Linked DNA regions of Lepisosteus oculatus. The protein of the gene in region 2 purifies or fractionates together with the protein of the main gene of each other region. This does not show direct contact. Links are inferred from orthologs where the notes say so. Each region holds a gene or a part of one and is shown on either strand. Other genes may lie near its edges.

The links.
Region 1: the proteins of ebna1bp2 (region 2) and nop2 fractionate together in Homo sapiens (co-fractionation; 3 studies listed by BioGRID and IntAct, with this or other methods). This does not show direct contact. The link is inferred for Lepisosteus oculatus from reciprocal best matches to the Homo sapiens genes EBNA1BP2 and NOP2.
Region 3: the proteins of ebna1bp2 (region 2) and bxdc2 purify together in Homo sapiens (affinity purification with mass spectrometry; 4 studies listed by BioGRID and IntAct, counting the BioPlex papers as one, with this or other methods). This does not show direct contact. The link is inferred for Lepisosteus oculatus from reciprocal best matches to the Homo sapiens genes EBNA1BP2 and BRIX1.
Region 4: the proteins of ebna1bp2 (region 2) and nop56 purify together in Homo sapiens (affinity purification with mass spectrometry; 4 studies listed by BioGRID and IntAct, with this or other methods). This does not show direct contact. The link is inferred for Lepisosteus oculatus from reciprocal best matches to the Homo sapiens genes EBNA1BP2 and NOP56.

Annotation. Positions count from the first base shown.
Region 1 is NC_090718.1:3,596,935-3,604,379, reverse strand, and holds the start of nop2 (28S rRNA (cytosine(4447)-C(5))-methyltransferase), read right to left. Parts: upstream 3,001-7,445; 5' UTR 2,911-3,000; intron 1,970-2,910; exon of another isoform or gene 1,853-1,969; intron 1,099-1,852; 5' UTR 1,070-1,098; coding exon 964-1,069; intron 615-963; coding exon 572-614; intron 474-571; coding exon 394-473; intron 85-393; coding exon 1-84. Other genes in the region: histone H1.2-like, read left to right, coding at 3,095-3,212, 3,415-4,004; histone H2B 1/2, read left to right, coding at 5,118-5,492. UniProt on the Homo sapiens protein: S-adenosyl-L-methionine-dependent methyltransferase that specifically methylates the C(5) position of cytosine 4447 in 28S rRNA. Required for efficient rRNA processing and 60S ribosomal subunit biogenesis.
Region 2 is NC_090704.1:14,769,390-14,776,649, forward strand, and holds the start of ebna1bp2 (probable rRNA-processing protein EBP2), read right to left. Parts: upstream 3,018-7,260; 5' UTR 2,913-3,017; coding exon 2,838-2,912; intron 2,497-2,837; coding exon 2,416-2,496; intron 2,230-2,415; coding exon 2,057-2,229; intron 1,385-2,056; coding exon 1,261-1,384; intron 902-1,260; coding exon 812-901; intron 572-811; coding exon 496-571; intron 179-495; coding exon 88-178; intron 1-87. Other genes in the region: cfap57 (cilia- and flagella-associated protein 57), read left to right, coding at 3,885-4,041, 5,433-5,746, 6,191-6,450, 6,976-7,144. UniProt on the Homo sapiens protein: Required for the processing of the 27S pre-rRNA.
Region 3 is NC_090698.1:20,699,788-20,707,078, forward strand, and holds the start of bxdc2 (ribosome biogenesis protein BRX1 homolog), read right to left. Parts: upstream 3,013-7,291; 5' UTR 2,984-3,012; coding exon 2,831-2,983; intron 2,366-2,830; coding exon 2,254-2,365; intron 2,093-2,253; coding exon 2,049-2,092; intron 1,474-2,048; coding exon 1,403-1,473; intron 1,282-1,402; coding exon 1,232-1,281; intron 814-1,231; coding exon 740-813; intron 648-739; coding exon 597-647; intron 145-596; coding exon 43-144; intron 1-42. Other genes in the region: cell cycle checkpoint protein RAD1, read right to left, coding at 4,285-4,468, 5,372-5,470, 6,337-6,595, 6,762-6,870, 7,119-7,291. UniProt on the Homo sapiens protein: Required for biogenesis of the 60S ribosomal subunit.
Region 4 is NC_090698.1:69,131,522-69,138,618, forward strand, and holds the start of nop56 (nucleolar protein 56), read left to right. Parts: upstream 1-4,111; coding exon 4,112-4,139; intron 4,140-4,339; coding exon 4,340-4,387; intron 4,388-4,461; coding exon 4,462-4,676; intron 4,677-6,525; coding exon 6,526-6,615; intron 6,616-7,066; coding exon 7,067-7,097. Other genes in the region: uncharacterized protein, read right to left, coding at 1-172. UniProt on the Homo sapiens protein: Involved in the early to middle stages of 60S ribosomal subunit biogenesis. Required for the biogenesis of box C/D snoRNAs such U3, U8 and U14 snoRNAs. Part of the small subunit (SSU) processome, first precursor of the small eukaryotic ribosomal subunit.

The DNA.
Region 1 (7,445 bases), on a different chromosome or scaffold from region 2:
CCGAATCGCACTCGCTGTCGGACTGAGCCACGGGACGCTTCCGCTTCGCTGGCTTCAACCACTCGCTGTTCTCATCGCTGAAGCCTGAGTAAGTCAAATTGATTAATACAGACCCTACTATAGACCCTAGAGACACACCTCACACACAGAGAATAATACAGAGCCTACTATAGACCCTAGAGACACACCTCACACACACAGATTAATACAGAGCCTACTATAGACCCTAGAGACACACCTCACACACAGAGAATAATACAGAGCCTACTATAGACCCTAGAGACACTCCTCACACACAGAGATTCATACAGACCCTAATATAGACCCTAGAAACACAACTAATACATTTTGTTTATTCAGCAGACATTGTTTTAAGCATTAAGATTTGATTACCTTTCTTTGTCTGTTTTGGTTCTATTTCTGATTTTTCAGGCTTCTTAGGCTGGGAGGTGGGAACAGAACGCTTCACAGCACTATGGAGAAGTAACAATAGCAACAATCACAACTTGCAAGAAGCAGGGGAACAGCAATTTAAAATACCAAGAACAGTAGTGGTGATGATATTTCCTACCGTTTCCTTGCTCTGCTTCCAAGTCTTTTAGACGCACTATCACCTAAAAAAGGGAACACATTTTCAAATTATATTAGTGATTATTTTATTTAAAACAACTGTCTCACATCTCACACTGAAGTGACTCTGACATAATAATACTAATACTGGTAGAGTAATATGTTAACAATTGAGCCAGTTCACAGTCCAGTCAGTCCAGTCCAGCCTGGAGAGTCTCAGACTGCTCTGTCAGTGTCAGTGTGAGTCTGATTATAATCCCAGTAAAGAACTCATCCAGCTCCCAGTCCAGTCAGTCCAGTCCAGCCTGCTCTGTCAGTGGGAGTCTAAGCAGGTGGAGCTCATGTTAGTCCACCCAGTACATCACAGTCATAATGATCAGGATGGCTGCTTACCCTCCAGCAAGAAGTTGGGAATCTCTGTCTCTGCACCCTTCTGCTTTCTGGCCTTTCGTCCTGGCCCTCGCTTCTGCTTATTGGTGGGATCTAACTTCCGCCCCATGACTGACCTCTAAATTAACCAATCACAGCCTATACAAACGAAAATAAAATGAATTTAGACATATGATCTCGAACGTAACATGACAGATCCTGCAAAGCAAAACTTCGAATACTGGAAATCCTACAGATTCGCATGGCTTGATATTTCTTACAAATAAAATCCGTCTGGTTAAGAAAAAGAAAACACTGTTTAACAGATGTAGTTCAGAGAGAAATAACTAGAACGTCTACAAACCTGCAATCTACAAGAAAAAGCAAAGCGATATCAGATGTCTAAATCAATTATTAAAATACCAACAACATTTCACATTTGATAGGTTGCAGGCTACTGTGATGAAACCGCTGCACGATAGGAATCTGGTTTACCTCTATCACAATTTCACGGGGTACTAGTACTTCAGCTTCTAGTAACAGTACTTCGTTTTAATTTTAGTTGCTGACTAAAAGCGAACACATTTCCATAGCGTTTTTAAAGAAATCCTCCTCCGATCACTAATCAATCTACAGGCCACTAAGTTAAATTTGATCGGGGCAGGGTTTTTTTTTATTACCTTACCTTTTCTATGTCTTAACACTTCTTCTTTACTACTATCGTTTCACTTAATGTTTTAACGAGGATACGGCGGTAGTAAATAAACATCTCAATAGTTCGATTTCGTATTGAAGTTTTACAAGAATCCGTTTACAATCGTAACAGGACTTTAACCGCACAGTCAAGATTTCTCTCCCCCCACCCTCCTGTGTCCCTCGATTTTTTATATCTTTAAGTAAAAAGAAAACTCACTGGTTTGTAAAAGGCGAATCATCCAGCTCTAAAGTATTAAAAGTCCGGGCACATGCAGCCGTAGTAGCACGAACGAAAACGAGAAATGTGCGCAAAGACTGGCACGTGTTTCCGTCGCTTAGCAGAGAGAGCTATTTCCGTCGCATCCTTTATGACATCACGCAGAGCGCTTACCAAAACACACGCCGGTATAGAGCGGGTCTCCGTGACGTATTAAGAGCCTTTTTTTAACCTCTCGCGCTCCAAAGGCCGGCCATTAATAAGCTGAAGTGGTTTGTAAGAGCTCAAACTAACAGTTTTGGCAAGAGACGAGGCGGGTATTAATAGGCAAAGGTTTTGAAGGCAGCACGTTTTTCAAATACATTAATACGAAAAATATTTCATGCATTAGATTAAAAGACGTACGTAGATACTCTCACTAACTTGGGGGGTTATAACTTGCTGCTGCTTTGTTCAACAACGTTGATCAGAAGATTGAACTGAACACAAAAGTATAAATTCAGTCATTAAGTTATTTTAACAGAACTGAGACCGCCGGCACGTACGAACTTTCTTTATTTGGATGATCCTGGATTGTACTATCTGTGCACACTCAATTAAAAGTGGGAAAAGATCTGTTAGAGTTACAATTTAGGGTTCTGAAACAAAAAAAAAACATTAAGACAAACATATTTACAAAGGTTCGCTGTAGCAAGCTGTTGTAAACCACAGAACTCTTGTACCTGAAACTAAGAATTAACCTAAGGAAATAAATTCCGGTCAGCAGGGTGGAGTGAATCCAAGACACTGAACATATCGGGAAACTAACAATAATAATTAATAATAATCATTTAAAAGAAAAACCCAATGAAAAAAATAAAGACCTAGAGTGTACATGTACATAGAGGTAAAATGCTTCTATAAACAGTCAGAAATAGGTCTTTATTTAGTCTTGATTTGTCTCTCATGCATTATGAAAGTTATATTATTAAGGCTCCCAAAAGCCTCAGGTAGGCGCTGTGGCTCGGGGTGCAGTTATCAACTGCAGGTGTCCCGGCGTAAAGAAAAATACATCTCACCTGGGCACCAGCACGCGGGACCCTCCGTCGCCAGGCAACCGCAGTTCGGAAACAAATCCCCTAACGGACGGAGAGAGACGTTGCCGGCGGCAGCGCTGCCTCACTGGGAGCGACGGGACATTTCCATGTCTGCCAACGGAGCTCTGGGCTCTGTCCGTTCGGCTGACGCTTTTCCAGAAACACTATGTCCGGGAGGGAGCCGGGCGGCCGGGGACTCGGCAAGGCCGGAGCCAAGCGCCTCGGCCGGCTGCTCAAGAAGGCGCTGCGGGACGAAGGCCCGGAGGCCGCCGGCGCCGCGCCCAGTCAGTGTGACCCCCCCAATCCCAGCCGGCCGCCCCTGAGCACGGCTGACATAAACAAAACACCCGCGCCTCTCGCTGTCATTTTAATTCATTATGATGCCGTGGTGTTCCGTCACAGCGCCTGTGCAGTTTTGGAAAGAGTGAAAACGATGTCTAGACACCGCCCTCTCGCCTAATGTCGTTCTCACTTCCTTTTTGCCAGAAACCGCGGTCGGCGGGTTGAAGAACAAGAGGCCGGCGGCGGCGGCTGGCGCCCAGGCCGGGAAGAGAGGGAGCGGCGGCGGCGGCAGCGTCTCCGCGCTCATCCTCCGGGTGGTGGCCGCGTCGAAGCAGCGGGGCGGCCTGTGCATGGCGGAGCTGAGGAAGGTCCTGGCGTCCGGCGGCTACGACGTGGAGAGGAACGACACGCGGGTCGCCGCGGCGGTCAGGGGCCTGGTGCGGCGGGAGACGCTGGTGCAGACCGGGGGCAGAGGCGCGACGGGCTCCTTCGCGCTCAACCCGGCCAGGGAGAGGAGGGCGAAGCCGGCAGCGGCGGCGGCGACGACGGAGCGGGCACGGAAAGCCGCGAAGCGGGGGGCGGAGGGACACAGACAGGCCGCCGCAAAGACTAAGCCGGCGGGGCGTCATGGCAGGACCAACAAGCCGGCCGGAGCCGCGGGCAAGGTGCCCACCGGGCAGAAACCCACGAAGGTCGCAGACAGGCGAGGCGCTGATAAGGGCAAGAGCCCAGCTGTGAAAGGCAGGGCGGCGAAGAAGGCGCCCAGAAAACCGGCTCCGAAAAAGAGGCGTTAAAACGGAAAGGTTTTTGATTTTATATGAGTGAATCAACAAATAAACGGGCTAAGCAGCTTTAAATGATAACTTCAAGAGTTCCGGTGTATTTATCCCCTACACATCCTTTATCATGCACACAATTAAAAAAAAAAAATTAAATGCAGATGAATTCTTACATGTATGACAAAATATATCAGGTGACTTGATTGAGGATTGTGTCCCACTTAAAGGATGTACTGTTGGTTTGCATATCAGCCTTTATTTTTTAAAGTGAAAAGGAAAATCTTTGCAGTGGTACCTAGATTGCATTTCATATGAATTAGATTAATGCTGTTAAGACCATCTGCGTTTAGCGGAGCAGAAATACATATCAGTGGAACGATAGTTAATTTTAGACCTTAAATAAAAACTATTAATACATGAATTGGTACTGTTTATTTTATTTACTTAAAAAAAACACGCTATTGAGTTGATAGTGAAGATCTTTTAAAATAGGTTAGTGTATAAGCGCACTCCCCAATAACAAAGGTCCTTTTTTCTCCCATGAAAATTAAATTACTTTTGGATTTGCTTCAAAACAATCAGCTCTTATGATGATCGAACTATCTCAGTCACAAATATGAGAAAATATAAGGCGACTGAATCGTGAGATTTAAAAACAAAATACACAATTAGAGGTCAGGGCTGTTAGTGCACCTCGGAGCGCAAACTGCAGCAAAGTTGCTGTCCTAGTAGCTTGGAATCAGAGCGAGCGGGCTTTTGACTCCCAAGTTTGCACAAATCGCACAGTTTACGCCAAGCACATTGTTTTCTAGGATAGGGGATATAAACGGCATGAGAGTCGGATTTCAGAAAATCTGCACGTAGTGCAAAACGGATCGCACGGCCCTTTGTTCCTGAGTGCTCGGGCGGAGGGGAGAGAGAGGCGCCTGGAGTCAGAGCGAGCGGCTCAGGCGCTCAGCCGTTTGAATTTCATTGGCGCAGAGCGCAGCCAATAGGAGAGCAGCTCTCTAGCTGACCAATGAGCCTCCTTCTCAGCTGAGCGAGATGATTTGCATACAGCCGCTATAAATAGGGGGCTGCAGGAGGCGTGAGTTTCATCATTTTGTACGCAGTACGTAATTTGAGAAGATGCCTGAACCAGCGAAATCCGCTCCCAAGAAGGGCTCCAAGAAAGCCGTGACCAAGACGGCCGGGAAGGGCGGCAAAAAGCGCAGAAAGACCAGGAAGGAGAGCTACGCCATCTACGTGTACAAGGTGCTGAAGCAGGTGCACCCGGACACCGGCATCTCGTCGAAGGCCATGGGCATCATGAACTCGTTCGTCAGCGACATCTTCGAGCGCATCGCCGGCGAGGCCTCCCGCCTGGCGCACTACAACAAGCGCTCCACCATCACCTCCCGGGAGATCCAGACCGCCGTGCGCCTGCTGCTGCCCGGAGAGCTGGCCAAGCACGCCGTGTCCGAGGGCACCAAGGCCGTCACCAAGTACACCAGCTCCAAGTAAACCCGGCCCGCCCGTCCCGGATCAGCGAACCCAAAGGCTCTTTTAAGAGCCACCCACAGAGTCCGTAAAAGAGCAATCATGATTTCTTCCTTCTTGCTTCAAACCGTGGAAATAGACAATATAGTGCAATGGCACTAAAATAACTTGGATTTGATTGATTTAATAAAAAAAAACAAAAAACATTTCCCACTTGGTTCTTTAAGCAATATCGTATAATTCTCGCTTGTCGTTCCGATGTGCTTAAATTCGAGAAGCTTGTTAGGATGAACGTTAAAATTGTCCATCAGTCTGCTGTTTACTTCCCCCAATTCTGTGTAAAGTGTATCCTGTGCTCGATTCAAATTCACCCTGACTTAAATCACACACAGCTCCTCTTCTGACCAAGTGGCTGTAAGCGGCTAACCGCTGTTTCAAATTATTCAAGTGTACCTCGCCAAGTTAAGTGCTGGACAGGTCCGATAGAAAAGTATGTCCCTGTTTGTAAGGCTACAGCTCAACCAGGACAAGGCTCAGGGAGCAGAGACCACAGCTGTCCAGCAGAGGGAGCAGGAGAGAAGGAATCGTTTCTCTTAAAAAGCCCATAATAAAGAAAGCAGAGGTTCTTGACCTTTACTGCAGCCACTTAGACCTAAAAACTTCTTACCCCTTATTAAAAATCTCTAAAGAAGGTCAGTTCTTTAAACCCGATGCATATCGTAATTATGAAATGAGAGAGAATGAAATATAGGTAAGATCAAGAATGCATGAAAAAATATACAGTCCAAGGTCTGAAGAAACAACGTATTTGTACTGATGTGCCTGTGCTTAATCTGTGTTTTTGATTTAGAAGCAACCGGGGTTAAAAGAATGTAGTCATTGCAACTGATTTATATCAAATCTGAAAGAAGGACGTTGTTCTTATATACAACAGAACTCTCTTCAGGATACTTTATTAATCCCCTGAGGGAAATTGCAGTGCACCAGCAGACTGGCACTGTTACCACAGGACAATGTAACGAATGATACAATATTACAACAATACAGTAAGTACAGTCAGTGAGAAGTGCAGTAAAACCTTTTTAAAAATGGAGTATATAGAATTGCTCACATTACAGGAGATGTAAGACAAACCAGAATGTACAGTATACAAAAAGATATATTGCACATTATAAATATATTACACAAAGCATATATTGCACACAAATCAGTTGGAAAGAGGAAAACCAGCTGTAAACAGAGAAATTCATTTTCATTCCCAAAAACAGGTCAATGTTGCCCCTGCCCAGACACACAGTGGAGGAGTTGCACAGTCTGATGGCAGAAGGCAGGAAATTACCCCCTGTAGCGCCCCCTGTCGCATGTGGTTGGATCAGCCTACTGCTGAACGTGTTCTTCGTTCTCACAAGCATGTCATAGAGGGGATGGGAGACGCTGTCCATGATGGCCATTAATTTGGACACCATTCTCCTTTCAGCCACTACCTCCAGGGGGTCCAGGTTAGAACTTGTTCTTTTGATAAGCTTTTCAGCCAGTTAGCATAGAAAGCATAGAATCATAGAAGACAGTAAATTGATAGGTAGATAGTCGCTAATAGACACAGATCTCATTGTGTTGTGTCTAGAGACTTGTTTGGACAACTTGCACCATTCACCCACAACTCTTTGGGTAAAGCTGATTAAAAAAAATGCTTGTTAGGTGTATGTAATATACACACCAGCTGAAGCAGTTTGGTGTTTATGAGTAACGAACTGTAACAAAATTAACCTGTAGCAAGACTGAAGAATTAATGAGAACAATAAGAAACCAGTGAGAACAAACCCCCTCCACATGGCAGTGGAATGTGAGATTAAAGAGACAGGAGTCAGTCTGAAGAAATAAAGAGAATTGTGTATAAAAGAACCGGCAATTAACTAAGTACAAGAACTCAGGCTGTTTCAACTCAGCTGTGTGGATACTTTAGTATTAGTGTAGATA
Region 2 (7,260 bases):
ATGACAAGAGATTATCTACAGATCTCACGGGAAGTACCCAAGTTGTAAGGTTAGACTGATGAAGAAAAAAAAAAGGAGAGCTCTTACCCTCGTTGATTCATGACTGGCTTTGATAGGCTATCCCCTTTCTTGCCTTTTTCCTGGTCACCATCCAGGAAATCAAGCTTGTCGGTCATTCCTGTAGAGTAAGAATTTGCTGTACATTACGCATCAAGATTAAAAAACAGTTTTTACCTACAGTAGTATTACAGTCCCCTTCAGCTTCACTTGTTTTTCTACAGAAAATGGAAGGAACAGTAAAATCACTTGACATTATTTTCCACTCACAAGAAAATAATTGAACTGAATCTGAAAGTCTCTTATTTGCCGTCTTTTAGAAATGTATTATTATAGCACAATAAGACAAGCATATTAAGGTAAAGTCATGGACTGGTATCTAAAACCAGTCTAAAACCTTGCGTTAGTATCCTCATCCTTTGTGTAAGCCCACTGTACCTTTCTGGTATTTCTTTACTGCAGTCATCATGGCTTTCTTCGCCTTCTGTCTTTTCTGCAGCACCTCCGTCTGAACCTACAACACACCGATAATTCAGAAAAACAGATCCCCACAAATCACCAAACAATGACCAACTTTAAAAGCTTAATTCAAAAGTGAGAACCCTCAGTTTGTACAAACCATAATAAGTAGGATGAAGATCTATTACACTTTCATTTGTACAATTCATGCAGGTCATAAAACATGCAAGGTATGAGTAAACAACTGTGGAAGGAGACAGTCCTTACAGGTAGACAGCAGAACCCACTGACTTACCTTTTTGCCATATTTCCGCTGCTCTCGGAGTTTCTTGGCTTTCTCAGACCTCTCCATTGCTGTCTGTTTGGCCAGCAATTTTGTTCTAATCTACAAGAGAAGATGTACAGGATATACATCACACAAAAATCAGATCTCGTTCAAAGGAGTTAGTTCAATACAATTTTTTTCAAATGCGAATTCATACCAGCTTTAACACACTTGGATACAGATGTGAAACACGAACGCACTTGACAGATTTTGTAAAGACTTCACGCCGTTTTGAAATGTCAAATTCAACAACAGAAGAGAATTTAGCATTTTTGTCTATGCTACAGACTGATTAAGATGCTAAACCATTTGCTGGAAAAGACAAATTGCCTGTAACAGACTGCATTAGGAGCCCCCAAGTTTATTTTAAATCCACTAATAATCTCTCTGTGTCTCATGCGTCAGTATGTGGGACCAACCTTTTGCATTTGCTGGTCAGATTTGGCCATTTCAGCAAAATAATCCTCTGGTCTCTTGGTAGCAATCTTCAATTTGTGCAACCGTGGTAATGCTTCCAGCACAGAAGCTTGGGCCTGACGATAGCTAAAATACATTGAGGAAAAACAGGCAATGAGAAAAAAAAGTGTGATGAATACTTCCCACAATAACACAAGAAACATGCGTTTATCCACTGTTTTTCTCTTGGTGTCTCAAGATTTTTTGAGGAAGCTTGCCTTGGCATTTATCTTCATTACGTACGTCTATATGTACACATGGGAAAGTAAAACATAATAGCAATATAACTTGACTCATGAGCTTAAAAAAAATAAAGACCCAGCAAAGGCAAGGGTGTATATATAAGCCTGTTCCAAGATGTTGACAGTTGCAGTCTAGTCTCTCCAATAGATCGAGGCAGGGAGTTCCACAGACATTGTGGCTCATTGCGAGAAGGCTGTCTTTAGTACCTTATACACGATCAGGACAACCTTACAGTCCACTCCACATTTTACAGGAAGCCAGTGATATGTACAAAAGAATGCTGATGCAGAATAATTTTAATGAGTGCACAAGCCACAGCATTACTGATGTACTCAAGATTATTTAATATACAAGGGAGATAACTAATAAGTGAGTCATTTTTGTAGCCTAACTGATGAAAAAGGGCTTAATTCATATTTCAGCATTAGAGGCAAAAATCTCAACCCTTTAAAGTTCCAATCTGCAAAATGGCAACTCTTTGCATACTGTGGTGAATAAAGGCTTTTGCGGGCTTACAAGAACATCTCTCTCTGGAAGTCATCCTCTGCATTGATCTCCCCACTCTCCTCTGCTACTGGCCTCCCTTCTGCTTTAGCCACAATGTCAGGCGCTGGCAAACTGGTCAAATCCAGCCGTTCCAACCAGGGTAATTTCTTTCGCAGCTCGGACAAGCACTGCTTCAGACCTTCCTATGAACACAAAGACAAGTGGGCTTCAGTTTAGAGAATTCCAAGACATTTGGTTTAGTGAGAAACTTCAGCACCAGTAACACATTTGACAAACGAAAACATTGTAACAACTCCCATATAAAACTGTCAATGTCTCCTCGTCCTACAAGTTTTAAGAACCCAAACAAACAAGGAAACAAGACTCACCATATTGTTAACGATCTTCTTTTCCTGTAGAGGAATGTTTAATCCAGGCTTCAGCTCCCCCTTGGAGAAGGCTTCCTGGAGCTAAACATATAAAGACAATTAATACCGTTAAGGGCTTACTTTTGATTTTAAATTAAGCCTTTTAAATAAATACAACAGACCTTAGAGCTCAATGAGACATATGTCTTAGTGGAAAAACTCAAAACGAAAGATAAACTGTATCGATAGCTATCCAGACCTATAATAGTTTAAAATACTTACTAAATAATGCAGACTTATAAAACTATAATAGAGCTCCTCGCGTGTTTGGGGGAAAAACGTTTAAGGAGAAGAAATGAACACAACTTTTAACATATTACTACAGTAATAAACTGTACTGATATGGACAAAAATAAAGACCGGATTTAAAAGCGCGTGCTCACCTCTCCATCCGATAAATCGGCGTCTTCTTCCTCGGACTCGAAGCCTAACTGTAAATCATCTTCAACATCCTCCATCTTACAGTCAACAAATGCAAGCAAATCTGAAAATTAAAACTCCTCAGCGTGTTGCAGCTCACTCGCATGGACACATGGAGCACAAGAGGAAGTGGAGACCAAGTACGCACGCAATTCTGCCCTGGATGAGGAGTGCTTGAAAGAAACGTTCCGCAAATGTTATGAAGCTATGAATTAATTTCTCCGTTTTATAGTTGATTAATAATCAGTAAGTGTTAAAATATAATAAATATAAAAATATCAAATTCAATGTTTCCTTTATTTATTGATAAATCGACTGAGCAAATTCTACATTTATTAAATTTGGGAACTAAAAGAGAACTTCACTACAATTCCCGGTACACATCACTGCCGTAAAGATGTCTGGGAGCATTCGTTGTCACAGTAACACGTGAACTTGACACTTTCTGTCCCCTTGGTAACCGGTAAACAATGTTAGCGGGACTGCAAACTGGGCTCGCTGCAGACACAAGTGTTGGTAGGTGTCAACATATTTTTTTTTAAAGAAGCGACGAATTAAGGACTTCTGAAGTTTAAAAAACACAACATATACGTTAAAGAGTCAAAAGTGTAAAGAAATATACCAAAAAAGGATTTTTAAATATTGATAATGACTTAAGCTTTTATATATCCGTTGTGACTTTTTTCGCGTTAAGGCAAAAACTTTGTACAACACTTAGAGTAGGACATTTCTAGCTAATTAAAATGATAAAAACTAAAATAATGTACCGGTATCAACAATTATCTTTCTATTAGTGCCTGGAATAAATAAATATTTAATATTAAATTAAATATATTGGTAAAATATGATAAAGTTATTTTAAAATGCGGCGAATGAGAGTATAGTTTTTCACTGAATCGATATTGCATTTTAATTGAGCACAATGCATTTTTGGCTTATGGGATTTGTAGAATTGGATCTTGTATTAGCAGGTCCGCCAAGTGACTCGCAGGGCGAGCAATCGCTGAACAATGTCTGCGGTTGTTATTCAGTCTCATCACATCTTCGGTCTCCGGGCCGGGGTGACCAATAATCTCCTGTACTTTGATGAGCAAACTGTCATCTTCCCATCTGGAAACAACTGTGTGCGCTACAACATTGACCAGAAATGGCAGAAGTTTATTCCAGGTAAGAAAATGCATCTCCATAAATTGACTATATTGTGTTGTCTTTTTAGATTGTGGACCTCAATATGGGAACTCGGTATCTTTGATTTTAAGGAACGGTCTGTGGTTAATTCTGTTCTAATTATCTAAAGAAGCATTAAGAATATTTTTCTTGCAAATGAAACAAACATATAATATTAGATATAAGGTGTGTGAATGTGCCAATTGGATGGATATAATTCGTAGAGTGCCATAGAGGTCTGTGTTCGGAGCACTATGCTGACTAGTTTGTATCAATGATCTAGATTCTGGCATACATAGTAAAATACTGAAATTCACAGACATCAAAACAGGAGGATTAGCAAAAACAGAAGAAAGTGAAAAGGAAATTTAAAAAGATTCAGATGGAATTCAAGTCTGAACAAACATCTAGTAGATGACATCTAATGTAGACAACTACAGAGTGTTACATGCAGATACCAAAGACATAAACCATAAATTAAAATGGAAAACATGAAGCTGCCTATAAAACATACTTATGGATTTTTGTACGATGTGACAGACACTTCTAGACAATAAACAGGCAAACAGAATGTTAGTATATATATTTAAGAACATAGAGTTATAGTTATAAAATTTAAATGATGTGCTGTAATGTTAAAGTTGTACAATACACTAGTAACACTTAGAATGGGTGCATAACTTAGGTTAATATGATACAAAAGAGGTATTGCCTCTCTGGACTGAATACAGAGAAGAGTGATCAGCTACATACCTGTATTCAGAAGATTATCCTACTCTAAAGGTCTAAAAGAAGTAAAACCTTATACCCTGAAATAGAGAAGACTATGAGTTGACCTAATTCAAGAATTCAAAAAAATGTTCCAGGGGAGACTTTCCTTAACAGCTGTGTTGTGTCTTGCTTGGTTTGCGTTCGTGTGGGTCCGCCTTTGAAGAGAGGGAACTTTAGGCTGTGGAATGTCTTGACTCAGGGACTCATAAACTGTAAATATTTTGTAGATACTAGTTTGTGTGTCTTGTATATTTGAATTATAACTTAATCTTTGTATGTGTTTTAAGTTTGTCTCCTCGTTATTATGCCACCTTTAAACTGTATAACAGTTTATAACACGTGGCCAAACTTGACTATAGACAGCATTTTATTAATTTTATGTGTAATAATTATTGCAACTAGTATACAATTAACATTCATTAATTAACATAATAATTAGTGTCTAGTATATACAAATAACACCTTTGTATAAGGACCCTACATTTAAAATCCCCCTATTTATAATATTTAGCATCACATTTCAAACAGATTTGGAACTCTTTTGCATGTCTGTCACGTTTAACAGAACAATAACCGATAATGTGGAGACTGTTAACCATCAGTGCTACTATGCTCTGCAGGCACAGAGAGAAGCCATGGCATGCAAGCCCTGGCCATTAGCTCCAACCGCCGCTACCTGGCCGTGTCAGAGAGAGGCGAGAAAGGCACCATCACTGTGTACGACCTGCAGCATGAGCAGAGCAGGAAGAGGAAAGTCCTGAGTGGGGGGGACTCCCCAGTGCAGGACTTTGTCTACATGGCTTTCTCTCCAGACTCCAAATACCTCATTGGCCAATCGGGGGCTCCAGACTGGACCCTGTTCTACTGGATGTGGGAGAAACAAAAGGTGATGGCCACAGTGAAGACTGGCACCACAACTAACCCTATCTCCCAGGTACTGAACAAAACAGGGTTTAAGTTTGCACGCGACTAGTTTAGATGGCCACCTTATAGTCCTTCTTGAGTTTCTACTGACTTTGCCACCAGTGGAAGCTAATAAAGATAAATTGCATGAGGGTGGATAAAAAAACAAAACCCTTTTAAAAACCTGAGGCATGAAGAAAAAGTGATGAAAACAGTCTTAAACTCAAAAAAGACATGATTGTGAGTGGATGTGTTGGATTTATGTAATTTGAACATACACTGTTGACCACAAGTTAAATGGGTTAATGTAACTTTTTATTAATTGAAATATCAATGTAAGTGTAGACAGTGGTGACTAATTTCTTTTAATCATTAGGTTTAAACTAATGAGTTATTTTGATTTGTCTATCTGTAAGTGAAAAAACAAAAAGGAGCTATTAATGTTTTAAAATACACATTTCTTTTATTTCCTAAGGTTAGTTTTAATCCTCAGGACAACACACAGATCTGCGTGAGTGGAAATGGGGTGTTTAAACTCTTCCGCTATGCTGAAGGAACCCTCAAACAATCCAACTTCCAGAAGCTGGAGGCTCACAACTTCCTGTCCCACATGTGGGTGTCGGATGAGAGAGTTATTGTCGGCACAGAGACCGGGAGGCTCCTGGTGTTTGAGTCAGGAGATCTGCGCTGGGAGATGAGTGTGGTGCCAAAGTTAACCACTAGAGATACTGACAGGTACAGTGAGAGAGGGAGGCTGGAGAGACAAACAACAACTGTTTCTAAGCTGTTCACTGATGCTCCTCTTAAATATGTAGTACAGACGTTTCTTAAGGGACCTCAGAAATTTGCAATGAAAATGTTGACTGAATCTTCTGCTGTTTATGCCACCAATTACATCCATGTGTCAGAAATGTGTACACTTGAATCAGGAAGTTAAATAACCGAAAGTTTAAATTTCCAAAGTAAAGCACTTGGAATCAATGGCATCATATGAACACAGGTTGATATTAGGAACAAGAGAAGTATTTCATTTATGCCAAGTACTGTATGAGTCCCCAGTTCTTCTTGATACATTTGTGTTGTGTACAGAGATTATTATGACAACAGATTAACAATGCCTGTTCATCCATCTTGTGTGTTCATCCATCCACCTTCAACAATAAATGCGCATTAAAGCGACAAATAATATGTTAACTTTCACACTTATAATGTAAAAACATAAAATGCATGCAGTTACAAACTTCTGTTTTTGCTTGTTAGGTCAGTGGAAAAAAGCATGCTGGATGAGCCAATGTCCACCTCTCTTCCTCATGTCTCAGCCATAACTGCCTATTCCAAGGGGTTTGCCTGTGCAGCTGGGCCGGGGACAGTGTGCTTGTTTGAGAAGACAGACGAAAAGGACACATATAAGAGAACCAGGGAGATCAGGGTGAGAGAGTATTGTCTCTTGACTTGATTTGATTACAGAAATGTTACTTCCTTTATCAAACCTTACAAAAGTTTAGTCTAGAACTTTTATCAAGTTGGAGAAGACAGGATCATAAA
Region 3 (7,291 bases), on a different chromosome or scaffold from region 2:
GAGATCTAACAGAACCAGAAAACAAAAGTCTCCTGTACTCACCTGATAATTACGGAACCATATCCTGTTATCTGCTATCGTGAAAGAAAAGACGTGGTCTACAAATGGCTGGCTCTTTGGGTGGTACTGAGGGGTAGCGAAAATCTAAACCAACCGGGAATAATTGGGAAAAAAAATAAATGTAATGTGTACAAAAGCTGAATAAACAGCAACACACTGAACTACAACAAACATCAATGGTAAGCTTACTAATTTTTGCATTTTCTGATCATGTGTTTTCTTAGTTAAACAATTCAACTCAAAGATATTTAATCCCTGAAATCTTATCGACAAAAAACAAAAAAATGGCTCAAAATCCACCGTTCTGTTATTTCTACCTTAGTGTTTTGACTGCCTATTCTAAATTTTAATGGTCTCCAAGTTTTATTGATACCAAAAAAATATATTCAGGCTAGTGGTAATGTCCTCAGACATCTGAGGCTTTATTATGAAAGACAGAATATCATGATTGTCATGGTAGTTTCAAAAGCAGGAAGAGAGAACAAAAACATTGAAATCAGCAGCGAAGATAATTATAAAGTCCAAATCATGCCTACCTGGATGAACAACTCCTTCAGCAGCGCATAGTGTGGCTCTTTATCAAACTTCTGATGGAAAAGGCAAAAAAAGTTATATAGTATCCCAAAGGACTTTAACTTTAAAATGTTGAAGATGTTAAGTTTCGCTGGTGTTTGCTTACAGGGTCAAATGACAGCAGGGGCCTTGATCCTTTCAGGCAGTTTCCAGTCATCTTCAGCTCCGCCAGAGTGTGAACTTGAAGGAAAAGGGAAAAAAACAAGGAATGAAACAGCTGTGGTTCCTGTGACTGCACACAAGGAACATGCAGGAGAACACGCACAGGCAGGCACCTCGCATTTTTACAGATCATTTTATTAAAACAAATGAACTGCAAAACCACAATGAAAACTATACGTAACCTCAACTCCAGTATGGATTGTAAAACATAATAGAAATTCTCATTCCCTCAAGTCTACATCAGTGAAGGTGACTGAAAAAACTGTCAATTCTTCACAGAGATTCAACAGTTGCCCAAGAAGTGTGATGTAGTTGCATGTCAAATTACAACATCAGATATTTAACAAACCCTTTACAAATTTAAATTGTTTTTGATGCTTTAAGGTTTGAATTATCCATTAATCCCCAAAAGAGTCCTTCAGATGCTTTTACTTACTGTTTTGAACCAAAAACTTGGCTGAAGGTCCGTGTGGAACATTGGAAAACCTTAAAAAGTAAAATACAGTCAAACAACCCAGCAATATACATTTACTCAGTAATACTACTAGTCATTTGTCATAAAGAAAATTCACAAAATAACTTTCAATCGAATCAGCTGAGTACTCACCACAAATAGAGGTCCTGTTTCTTTTTGGCTTCAAAAAAGATACACTTGTTGCAATTTTTGATTTCACAAACCTGGAAGACATCAAGTTTAAATGTTTTTCAGTGAAAAACTAAGACTCAAGCACAAATGGAATATGTAACTACACTCATATCGTGCTCTGCTGTGAAGCATCACAACATTCTTTCAGGTAATAAAGTACAGGTTTCAACTGCATCTACAATACTGTCAAAGAAGAAAGACGAGAACACCCAGACATTCTACTACTTTTCTTAAACAAATACTAACAAAATAATTTCATACACTGCATTTCATTAACAACTGAATTGAGTGCTTTTTCCAAGACCTATTTGGTCCGTATTTCATATGGTTCATCTGAATAAGTACTAAGTTACTTTTCATCTTTAATAGTTGGTATCAATTAATTTCATAAGTTATAATTCCTTTCTGCTCGTTTTCAATTGGTGAGAGACAAAAAGTGTCTGGCAAAACAATGTCATCATCACCAGGCTAATAATCTGTGATTACACTTGGATTCAGTCCCAAGTTTTTTGTGCAAAACCCTCATTTATCTTTTCCTATCACGCAGACGTTTGAGAAATTAATGTGACAAAACTACAGACAACCTGAAAGACAAGCATAGACTTACCTCATTTACAACAAACAGTTTATCCTTTCGATCCATTTTTGTATCTGGAATGAAATGTCACATTAAAATATTACTGGAAGAAATTTAAAATGTTGAAGCTGGCTTTTTACCTAAAGATTACTGAGGTATGTACACGATCTTCAACAGCTGACTGAGGAGCCTTATTGTGAAAGAAACTGGCTACACTCACTGGCTGAACGCTTACCTGGCTTTGTGTGAGGCATCAATGTCCTCAGATCATTCATAAGGTGCCTGGTTCTGAAGTCGACACCTCTGGAGGAAAACAAGAGAACCCTTTCTTTGTTCGTCCACTTACCCTAAAGTAAAACAAGGGGAAACTTGTTATCCATGCTGCCTCTGATGCTGAAGCAGAAATTAGACTTTTTATACTTATGATTACGTCTATAGAAAATTGAGAAACATAACTATTTCAAGTAAATGGCTAATAATAAATAATAAACGGTTGAAACATTTATAAAATCACAAAGAGCGTATAGATTTATTACGCAAACAATATTTCTGAATTAACTTAGAGCACCGAACACGCAAACTTGGCTGGAGTAAAATGGAACAGCTATGTTTCTCTTACTTAGATTCACTCTGAACATGGAAATAGACTAAAAACTGCATGTAATTAATCCAAATTAAGTACAAAAATAACCTAAGCATCCTTTGCTAAATACGAATTGATGGGAGCGTTGTTAAAGAGTGCAGCAATTGCAAACAACTGCATACAACTCATAGACAAAGCAATAAAGTCTGTCCTCATGTGCTATACATACCATAGAAACCGGTGCTGGAATGCTAATTTCTTTGTTTGGCTCCTGGTCAGGACCAGATTTCTGTTTTCGTTTGTCATTTTCAGAAAATTTAACTTTTTTTCCAGTTTTCCCGGCTCCGGCATCTACTCCACGTTTTCTCTTGAAGGCACCCATTTTAGAGGAAGTGGACGCGGACGCTTACCAACGATAGAAGGCTTGGACGCTCTAGAAAAAATGTTAACGAGAAGAACGTGCGCCACCATCCGAATCGGAGGACACAGTTCTTACAAACGAAATATTGCACACCTAGTGCTTTTCTCCCTTTTTATGTTCCTGTTCAAATGTTGAACTTAAATGTTTGTAAATGTGTTGAAAAGCAAAGAACAGCTTATTATTACCTAATCATATTTGTAGGTATTTTTATTATTATGAAAAATTATAGAATTTTCAGATTATGAAATGTTTTTGAAGGTTATAATAAATAATATTCCTTACACTTATATAGAGCTTTTCTGGACACTCCACTGAAAGGGCTTTACAGGCAATGGGGACTCCCCTCCATTGCCAATGTGTAGCACTCACCTGGATGATGTGATGGCAGCCACAGTGTACATGGTACGCTCACCACACATAACTATCAGTGGGGAGTATAATGAAATCATTTTATAGATGGAGATTATTAGGCCATGATTGGCAAAGGCCAGAGGCAAATTTGGCCAGGACAATAGGGTTAAGACTGCTACCCTTTTCGAGAAACACTCGACTCCATGGGTTTTTCATGACCATGGAGTCAGGACCTCGGTTTTACATTTCATCTGAAGGACGACGCCTTTTTGACAGTATGGTGTCCCTATCACTATGCTGGGGTATTAGGACCCACACAGACTGCAGGGTGAGCACTCCATACTGGTCCCACTAACACCTCTTCCAGCAGTACCCATCCAGGTACTGATCAGGCTCACACCTGCTTAGCTTCAGGGGATTGCCAGTTGTGAGTTGCAGGGTGATATGGCTGCTGGCTAAATTAACTCTGTATTCTGTCAACTCTATATTCTCTTTATTATGGTCTATGTAGGTTTCTTTTGGATGTTAGTCTGATGTACAAAAATTGAGTAATTTCCCCTTTGGCTGAAGAGCCAGGTCATATATTTTTTTCTCCCACATTGTTCAGATCCATGTTTCCAGGAGAAAAGGACAAGCCAGGACAGCTGGCAACCCTGATGATACTTGCTGGGTTGTTTAGTGCAATTTAAACCTCACAAAGAGTTTGCAAAAATTAAGACTTTTTTATTTCAGCGTTTTTTTATACAAAAATATTTTAAGTGAAACATAACTTTACAATTTGCTTGAATCACCACTGCCATGAAGAGATTTACAATTGGAAAAATATGACAGCAATATCTTTGAAAACAACACAATGAACAGAATCAGGAAAAGAACTTTGCAGGGCTAAAAGAAAAGGAATAAATAGACTACTATGTTCCAGGTTCCTCAACTTCCTCATCTGGACAACAGTAATACTCCACAAAGCAGATTTGGCCGTCTTCATTTCTCACCAGGTACTGCAGAGAGAGGAACCCACGATTGTCCATCCGCACTGAGACCTTGCAGGACAGGGCCAGCGCTTTGGTGGAAGGTTTTAATAAGGACATTTTATACCTGCAAAGACAACAAAAAGCTCATCAAAAGGGTGAAAAAAATCTACCGTTATCCTATCATGTTGGTAAAACTCCCATGACTACGCCATCAGCTTTCATACTGAGTGTGCTGGATAATGACTGAACACTGGATCTGTTCAGGACAGAGGAAGGCTAGAAGCAGGACTGTGAAAACTGTTATTAGGACTTCAGTTACTCAACTCTGTCAGAGATATTATTCATATTCTATTAGTGTGGTTTTAACAACATCTTTTAGCTCTATGCCTCTCCTTTAAAGTAAAAAAAAACAATTCTGTTATGGTAAACCAATTTAAACTGTTTTCATTTAATGTTCCAATCCATATAATCTTTATGGATTTTACTAACCATAGAACCTCCAAATGAAATGTATACTACAAAGCCACTTGAAACTAGTTATTCTTCAGTGCACAAAAATAACCTTACTGCTTTACATTTTTCCATAATTATGTAGTCAACAAATGATTGTACTATCAATTATCATTTTTATGTCCTTTATTAAAAGGGTGTAGTACTACCGGCACCCTAGCCTTAATTACTGTATTAATACAATACATATAAAATACTACAATAAATGTAACACTGAGTAGAGAGACACTGCTTTGTCATCTTTCTGATCTGTCAATTTAGATAAAATAGTTGAGATTATTAAACCTAATGCATTTCTCATCACACTTAATTTGCAGAGTTCTCACTTTGTCATGGAAGGCAGTTCGTAGCTCTTGCAATGTGAAAAACAAGTTGTAAATTTCTGAGTATTTAGATTATTTGCATAACAAAAAGACTGAACAATTTAGAAAATTACACTTTAGACTAACAAATAATTTTATCTAAACCTTAAATGTTGGGTAGGCCAAAATAACCAGGATGGAAGGGGTCCGCTGACCTGTTTGTCTGTGTTTGGCTACACTGAAAGAACTCCATCATGTCCGAGTCCTTTGGATAGTCATAGTGGGCACTTCCTGCATTCCCAAACGTAGATAGTCTATGTATTGGTGAAAAACAGAAAATGTTAGGGAATACTTCCACTGTTACTTAAGTTACAAAATGTTTGAGATGGCAAAATAAACTTTGTTTTCAGTGAACAGAATACCATGTGACTAATAACATGCATGCTGTGTTATGGACAACAAGGCTACAGAAGGCATACTTCAAGAATGTTTGACTGATGTTTACAAAATTTTCAGACTTAAGCATGTGATGGTATAGCATAAAGCATACAGTACATGAGCTATGATCCTGACTGAGCTGCTTGTTACCTGACTTGTTACTACCACTTAGCACTACCAGTAGCAGTGATAAATAATGCATGTGTGGTACTTTTTAATAGTCCAGCTTTCCGAGTCTAATCTTAAAATCATGTGGAATAAGCTTCCCAACCCTTACATCTTTCTAAAGAATTAATATTCACAGCAGAATATTTACAAAAACTAACTGCAGATAAGTTTAGGAATCTTGACATAGTACTTAAGTTGGTTTCAGTTAAATCAACGCTATCAAGGTGTCAGCAATGGACTCTTCCTTGTATTCACACAATCAGAGGGTAATTCTCATATTCCAGAGTAAATGTTAAGTCATTATGTTTGAACGCGCAGATAAACAAAATATTATGGAAATCTAATTTTGACATCACGTTCTACTGATTTGTGGATGGAACACACATTAACCATCCCTTAAAAAATTAAACCAATAAGCAATTGTATGAAAATAAAAAAAACACAAAAAAGTAGTTATTGAAAATTTAATGCAAGGAGTTGCTGTTCTGTGTTGAATCTTTCTTCGAGGTTTGGGTTTTTCCTTGTATATCATCTACATTTCTTTAATGTGTACCTACACAGAACTTCCACTCACCTAAAATAAGGTTTATCTGGGGACATAGTGATTTGCAAGACCTCGCTGGTCATGTCAAGCTCAGAGAAGGCCTCCCGCAGGCTGTCTGACTGCAGAATCACTTTGTTGGTGACGTTGGTGCTACAGAAGTCAAAGTCAATAGGATCCTCCGGCTCCATGGTGTTTATTTTGCACACTGTTACCACTCCCTCTTCTTCAAGGAACAAGGTCAGGGGGTAGCCATAGCCACCATAGCACATCCGCAAAGCAGTTGTAACTCCTTTCATCCAAAAAGCACAAAAGTAAAAAAAAATCAGTAGTGATAAGTGAAAAAATCTTTATCCATAGAAAACTGGAATATTTTTTCCAAGTAAACAATAGCTCTCTTCAATAAGAGAAAAAAACAACGATATTTTTATACTAACATTTTTTTTAAAGAGCAATACCTGGCACAACATTTCCTCCAAAGATGGTGAGGCAGTCTAAGAGGACAGTCAAGTTAACTGTGAATCCAACTGAGTCTTCCTTTATGAAGTAATCCTGGAAGATCTCAGCCTAAAAAAAGAAAAAGTCCTGCTAACTACAGTATGCAGACATATACAGTACTAATGAAATACATATTCATTCTTAATTCCTTTAAACTATGTATATTAATAATCACAAAAGACGAAAAAAATTGCATCAATGAAACAAAAAAATATTTGTCCACATTATGTTTCTAAACTTTTCCCCTGACACCAGGCACTTCATGTAGAAGCATGTTACATCAACATGTATTTTTATAAATTCACGATGGCACTAACCTGTATAAAAGCATTGGCTTGCAAGCACTTGGAGTCTTCCACGGTAACTTTTAGCCCATTAGGTGTGGCTGTGAAGAGAGAGTGGTCTTTGAAACTGATGGCTTTTAAGATGTTGGAAAGGCTTCTGACGTTATCCAAGCTGGCCACCAACACATACTGGTCATCTCTTACTT
Region 4 (7,097 bases), on a different chromosome or scaffold from region 2:
AGCGGAAGCTGTAGCTGTCCATGTAGTTCTCGGCGTAGTCCCGGGCCCACAGCTCCCTCATGTTGTCCGCCAGGCTGACGAGGCACAGCCTGACCAGGGTGCGCACCTGCCCTCTGCTCCGGCCTTTCTCGGCCTTCTCCCTCTGCCACTGAGGCCCACGGAACAGTGGCATCTCCGGCCAGCAGGCGGCGCTGTGTCACACAGACTGACTGTCAATTACCGGGAGCAGACCCCCCTCGCCCCCTTAACACTCGCGGTCCGGGGTTCGTCTGTCTCACCTCTATGATGGAGGGGCGTGTGGGGCCACTCTAAATACTAGATGAAGGCTTCCTTGGCATGAGTTAATTGACAGCTCTTTGATTTAGAAAACACCTTCCTCTCTCCATCAGCTGTTGAAGCGCTCTGTACCGTGCTTCAGTCAAACTGAACCCTGGACTACCCACGCCTACGTGTCTGAGGGGCATCTCCAGTTGTACGCTTTGAACTTCGTTGAACTGTACGCTTTGCCACCCCCTGTCCTGCCATTTATGTCGCTGCTGACTGCGTTTAAAAATAAAGATTTGTTTCGTGTTCACGGAGGAGAGATTTCTGCGGTTTCTTACCACACCCCACGTACAGTAAGCCCAGGAAAAGCACACATGAGCCTGGTAACTAGTCCGTATCCAGGTAGGAGGTATAGGTGGTCCCTAATGTTCCTCAAACCAGTTATTACATCTGATATAATGTCGCAGAGTGTCGAGGGAAGCAGTCTAAATCTCTAACCCAGCAATACATGTTAACCCCTGTATTAATTAGGAATTCAACAGAACGCCTCCTGTAATAAAACTTACATTTGTATCGCGTCTGATTTATTTTGTTTCACGTCACAGGTCCGTTTTAAAACACAGAGAACATGAGGGGCGAGACAAGACCTTGATTACACACCTTTACAGGGGGATCTTGTCTCTGGAGAGTCTCCAAACGTAAGTGATCGCGTCTCACCTCCTCGCCGACCCAACCGGTGAACACAAAGCTCTTCCGGGCACGCCTTCTTAAACCTGTATAAGCTGTCCAGGTTTATGACATTTTAACCGTGCCGCTATATGCTGACGGGAGCTCCGGAAGAGGGGTTTGAGAAAACACGGGCGATGACAGCGATGGCGAAACTATGTAAAAAGTCACGTCCCGTAGAGAAGTCAGTCCGCGCTCCTCCTCTGATCCAGCAAGACTGTTCCGCATCCCACATATCCTCCAGGAAAAGATGCACACTAAACGGGAGAAAAGCGAGAAAGCAACCGCACCTTTTTGATCTGAACTCATTGCAGTACCGCCGCGTCGTTTTTTTTTTGTGTGTTTGTTCTGTGTATTTATTTCAATACCCCCTGCTTGCTACACGTTGAAATTCAAACTCGATGATTTGCCAGTGGTGACCACAATGCAGTTTCCAGGAGCGTGGAACGGCATTTTCTGTTCTTTTCCAGCTTTCTTGCGCGTTTTCCCCCAAACTGAACATTAATTTATTTGACTTTGGAACAGCGCAAACAGCAGACCATATAAATACCCGTGTGTGTCTGACTGGTAACTTGCTCTCTGCTCTATCGCAGCTGTAAGGATTCATTTTGTAGTGACCACTCTAATAAGCTTTTATTGATCCACATGAAATCAGAGGGGAACTCTGGGGGCTGACGAGCTGGCCAATGTTTAACACCGAAGGCAAAAGAGAGAAGAAAAGTCGCAACAACAGTGAGAAGTGTAGGAGTCGAGCAGGACGGATTTAATCACACAACCGGAAACACCCTCCGTTACCAAGGGGATAGTTTCTGTTCGCTCTGTACACATTATTCCAGGGACTGGCTGCTGTTGTTTGAAGTGTCTTGGGTCAAAGTGCTTTTCGATTACAGATCTCAAAGCGGGGTCTTCTGCAGGGTTAGGGTGAGGTATGGTTCCATTATGAGCAGTCAAATGAGAGTAAACTCATTCTTTTCTGAATGACATATACTGGACAATGGTTTTTCTGAACGTCATTCACAAAACTTTCCACTTCGTTCAAATGGCAGTCGCCTGAAATTCACCCCAGCCTCGTCAGAATTCTTAGCAATTATCCGGCTAATTAGGTATTTAGACCAGCTTCGTAACTGAGACCGTGAGGGGAACAAAATCCGGAAGACACTACATTCATCAGGAACTGAGTCTGAGGCCCCTGGGTTAGAGGGCAGTAATGCTTGTTGGACTGTTGACTATAGTTCCAAAAAACTGAATATATTTGTTCTTTGAGCAAAGTATAATGCACTTTTAAGACAAGAAGGTAGAGTGATGTTACCAGATAGGGGACAGGATGGAATGTTTTAAACTTACACCGAAAGATATGAGTTCATGAATCAGTGCTTACAGCCCTGTGCGAGTAAACATGTAGTGCTGTAATACTGCAGCTGTTCACTGGTGCTCCTAACAGACAGACACTGTAAACAGCTGAGCTGCTGCTGCTCTGTGCACAGGTGTCTTTCCTGTTGTGATATAAATTCTCTAACTGGGACAGTTTTATACATTTGCTCTCAAATCTTGAAAGAGATTAATGGTATTACACCTAGCATCAATTTAAAGTTTATTTTCATTCTGCTCATACACAGGTGTATGGTATAACGAAATGCTATTTAGCTAGCTCAGTCAGCAGGGGATTGTGGGAGTGTGGACCAAGCTACCCAGCCATGTGGTTGAAGCGGACGCCTTGCTTCTTTCTGGAAACAACTGACTGAGACCCTTGGGTCAATTACCTACCACCAAGTGAATGGTGAACAGCTCCTCTCATTTGTAATCTGTTTTATGTCCCAATGTTCTTAACCCTGTGCACAATTTTACTCCCATTCAAATACCCGGTATCAACCTGTGCAAATTTCACAACTTCCCTGATTCACGTCTGCCGCCTGAAAAGTAACCGAGTGGACCTCCCCAGAAGAGAAATGACCGCCCGTGTCTGTTCATGCTTAAATCTATCACCTGGTGGGAGCTGTTCAGAGCAGACTCTTAATGAACGAGTAAACGTTTTTTCCCTGCCGAACAGAGAAGAAAGAAAACACAACGTTTCGGCCGTGGAGCCTTCTTCGGGTGTGAGCAAGCTGGTTTAGTAAGAGAGGGCCCAGGGCCAGGCCCAGGGAGGAAGAGAAGGAATGACGAAGAGATCTAGAAAAAGATTTGGAGGAGGGCATAGTGGGTCGCAGCAGGTTTAGGTTGAAGTAGTTCAGGTGGCTCCCTGCGTCAGCGGGTATAGGCTGCAAAGGAACAAGTAAAGGTTTATTCCCCGCTGAAAAGAAAAGAAAGAAAAGCCCAACGTTTCAGCCGTGGAGCCTTCTTCAGGTGTAGGCAGGGCTGCATAGCTGCAGTACTTCAGGGCCGGAAGAGTTCTTGTTTTCCTGCCCCTTGACATCTTAAGAGACAGATAAGACTTTATTGATCCCGAAGGGAAATTGATGTGTTACAGCAGCCCAAAACAAGCAAAACGAACAGACATCAGGATAGACAAAAAATTAGAATACGTACAGTAATAAAAAATAAATATAAAATAAAATAAATAAATAAAAATGACCAAATTGAACTCATTAATTGCTTAATTAGAGGTGCTGGAGCCTCTCTTTGTCCTTAAGAAGTTGGGTTTGAGGGTCTCTCTAACCTGCGGGACAGTGGCCTGTGAGGACAGGGGTGGGTGCCCCCAGCCAGCGGGCCAGGTGTTTACCCAATGAAACAGAACATGCAGTGATTGCATTCGTCTAGAAAGCCGTGGGATTGCGAGGAACAATCAAGCCACACAGAGGCTCATCAGATCAGATCTTATCCTGTTTCCCAGGCGTGAAGTGATCAGACAGCACACGGCTCGCCCTCCCCTGGATAAACGCCAGTGCGTCACAGCTCCTGCTCCCAGGCAGGGGGTAATGGGGGCAGAGTTTGTCACGCGAGGGGTGACAGCTGTGTCTGCAGCGGGGACTCACTCCCGCACGCCGTCAGCCACGAGTCCAGGCTCACGCCCACACACACCGCGGACAAGTGTCCTGGACGTCCAGTCACCTGCCAGCATGGCTTTGGACAGTGGAAGGAAACCAGAGCACCTGGAGGAAGCCCCACATGAACACGAGGAGAACATATGAACCCCAGACAGACAGCACCCCAGGGTGGGCATTGAGCCCCTGTGCTGAGAGCTAGCAATTACTTTATTTATTATTATTATTATTATTATTATTATTATTATTATTATTATAGGCAGTAGGCAGTCTACAAACACACCAATCAACACACGAATTGGAGCTGCAGGGAAATACGTTTTGTGCATCTGTATGCTTTGCTGTGTGTGTGACTTTCAGTTGTCTTTCAGAATTAAGACTGCAGAAAGAGACCGGCGTCCTGGTGGAATTTCAACCAGGTGCGTGGTTTTTTTTTAGTGTTGCATATATTCAATTTTTTAGCATAGGATCTGTCCAAAATCTCGCTCTTCAGTCAGGGCGAAAGGATGTGACGGTAAACGTACAGCAGATGGCGCCATGGAAACCCATCTCTCCACCCTCCCCTCCCCCAGCTCTTGTTCTCGCGATACTTCGAAGAGCCAGGGGGCGGGCTCGGGCACGAAAGCGAGGTGGGGCGGCGCGCAGAGCACCTTGGGAAGGAGAACAGGCAGCACGAGAGGACGGAGCTGCGCCGAGGGAACAGCAATGGTAAGACTGCACGTGTGGGGAAGAAAATAACTTCACTGCGCAGACCGAGTCAGCAGGTGCTTTTCAGTGAGGCAATACAGTGGAGGTATTGCTTGTGCGAAGGAACTGACGGAAAATACGTTTTCTGGCTCTTTAGACGTAGCCGGCGGAGATGCGGGTCACACGCAGTCTGGAACAGTGGCCCCAGTCAGGGTGTTGCTGTTGCAAAGCAGTACTCGGTAGCGGTGTAATAAGTAGTATGAAATAGCTGTATCTGTGGGAAGTTACATATGGATGAAAAAATCAATATTTTTTATCAGATTTCTGCAGATCTTCGGTTAGTTGCATGCTAGCTCACAGCTGCTCGGGGCTGCAGCTAGGCCCCAGGAACAGAAAACGATATCTGACGCGGGGCACGGGCCGGGGAAGTCACAGTGCTGGGAAAGAGCCGCAGTTAAAACCCCTGCACCGCGCGCGCTCTGGAGCCCGGCTCGTGCTCGGAGCTGGCGCCGGCCCACGTGTTGCCCTCTCGCTCGGGAGCGGCGGTGGCGGGGCTGCTGCTGCACCATCCTGGGCCCGTCAGGGCTGGAGAAGGACCTGGGGTACGCAACACGAGGCGCTTGTTGCGGGGGGGTTCTGGCGCGGGCCTCCGTCCCGTCGCCACGTGGTGGGGGGGAGCGGGGCGCGCACGTGGCGACGCGGACCCGAGCGGTTTCCTCTGAAGCGCCTCCAGGGGCGAGTTTCTGGTACAATTCCTCTCTTCCCCCCCCCAAAAAAAACCGAATGAACCGAGGAGTGTTTTCATGGCGTCTCTCGGCGGTGTACGATCCTGACAGGCAGAATTCAAGCCTCTTTCCCGGGGTCTGAGTGCGGGGGTTGAGCACGCCGTGATGCCGGACCCACGTGGTTCCGGCGCGGTGCGGCCATGAGAGAGAGGCCTTACAGAATGAAATAGTTCGCGCTTTTCTTTTTTACACGGGAAAAACCTCGCTGTCGTTGGACTAAAAGCGCAGTGCCCTCTGGCGACCGCGGTGCTACTGGGAAATGACAAAATGGGAACAAGTAAAGGGTTATTTGCTGCTGAAAAGAGAAGTTACGTTTCGGCTGTGGAGCCTTCTTTGGTGGCTCCGCGGTGAATCGATCTTCTCTTTTCAGAAGGGAACAACCTTTGCCTTGTTCTTCTGCAGCCTGCGCATGCTGACACGGCTGCCTACTTGAATGACAAAATAGTCTTCCTTTCTGCAGTACCTCTGATATCACGAGGAAGGGGATGAGTCCCGTTAACACGCAGCATGAACACGCATTTGTAGTTTTTTGTTCTTATGTTAATCAGTAGTTCTTCCGCTTTCTGTCCCGGTCTCTTTTGATGTGGATCGTGTCTTGACTCTGTAGTACACCAAGGTGTCGGTTAATACCGACAGTTTGTGTTGGAGGACTCCCCCTGAGATCTGTCACCATGAATTACAGCTCAATCCTGCGGCTTGTCTAGGCCTCTGCGCGCCCTCCTGTACAGATAGGCAGCGGCTGTCGCTGCCCTTACAGTGCTTTTCATCTCCAAGCTCTTCACCGGGGAAGTAAAGCAGAGACGGGGGTTTTAAAGGCACGCTGCTGCGTGGTGTAATGTGGAGCAGGCTGGTCTTGCACTTCGTTATTTCCAGGGTGCGTCTGAATATAGAGGGGAGGTGATTCACACTGAGGTTCGCAGCCCAGCTGGGAGATGCGCTGGCGGGTCAGAAGGGGGCGCCAGACCTGCTTGTTCCAGCGAGTGTAGGGAGATGTCAGGAGCTCGGACGGAGCCGGGACACCGGTGCTGCTGCTGCTGCCTGCTGGCCCGTGGCGTGTGGCCTCACCCCCGGCCCTCTCTCCGCAGGTGCTGCTACACGTGCTGTTCGAACATGCGGCGGGGTACGCGCTGTTCGCCGTCAAGGAGGTGGAGGAGATCGGCATGCTGCTGCCCCAGGTGAGGCCCTGCCCTTTGACCCCGCCCCAATCATAATGACACTCGGGTGAGGGTGTTTGTCCTCCACATGTAGCCTGAGACTGTCATTATCCATGGGCTAGAGACCACTGCAGTGCAGCTCTGCCCTGTGGTCGGACACATACCCTTGTTCTGTGCAGAAAATGTTGCTTGTGGTTTTTACCATAACTGCTTACTGCATGACTCATGGGTGTGAGGGGCAGAGGTGTTGGGTAGGATTTCAGATTTATAAAGCACTTAAAGTAGAAGGTTAATGTTTGCGGTCAATTTTAGCATCCCTGGTGTTCTAAAGTATTCGGCGTCAGGCTTTTAATGTTCACAATTAAGGATCCAGCAGCTGAGAGCCCCCTGTACAGCGTGCTGAGTTCCCAGGGCTTGTGTGACTTGCGATTTTAAATTCCGAGATGTTTGCACGTGTGTTTTCTGTCACCAGGTGGAGGAGAGTGTGCTGAATCTGGGGAAGT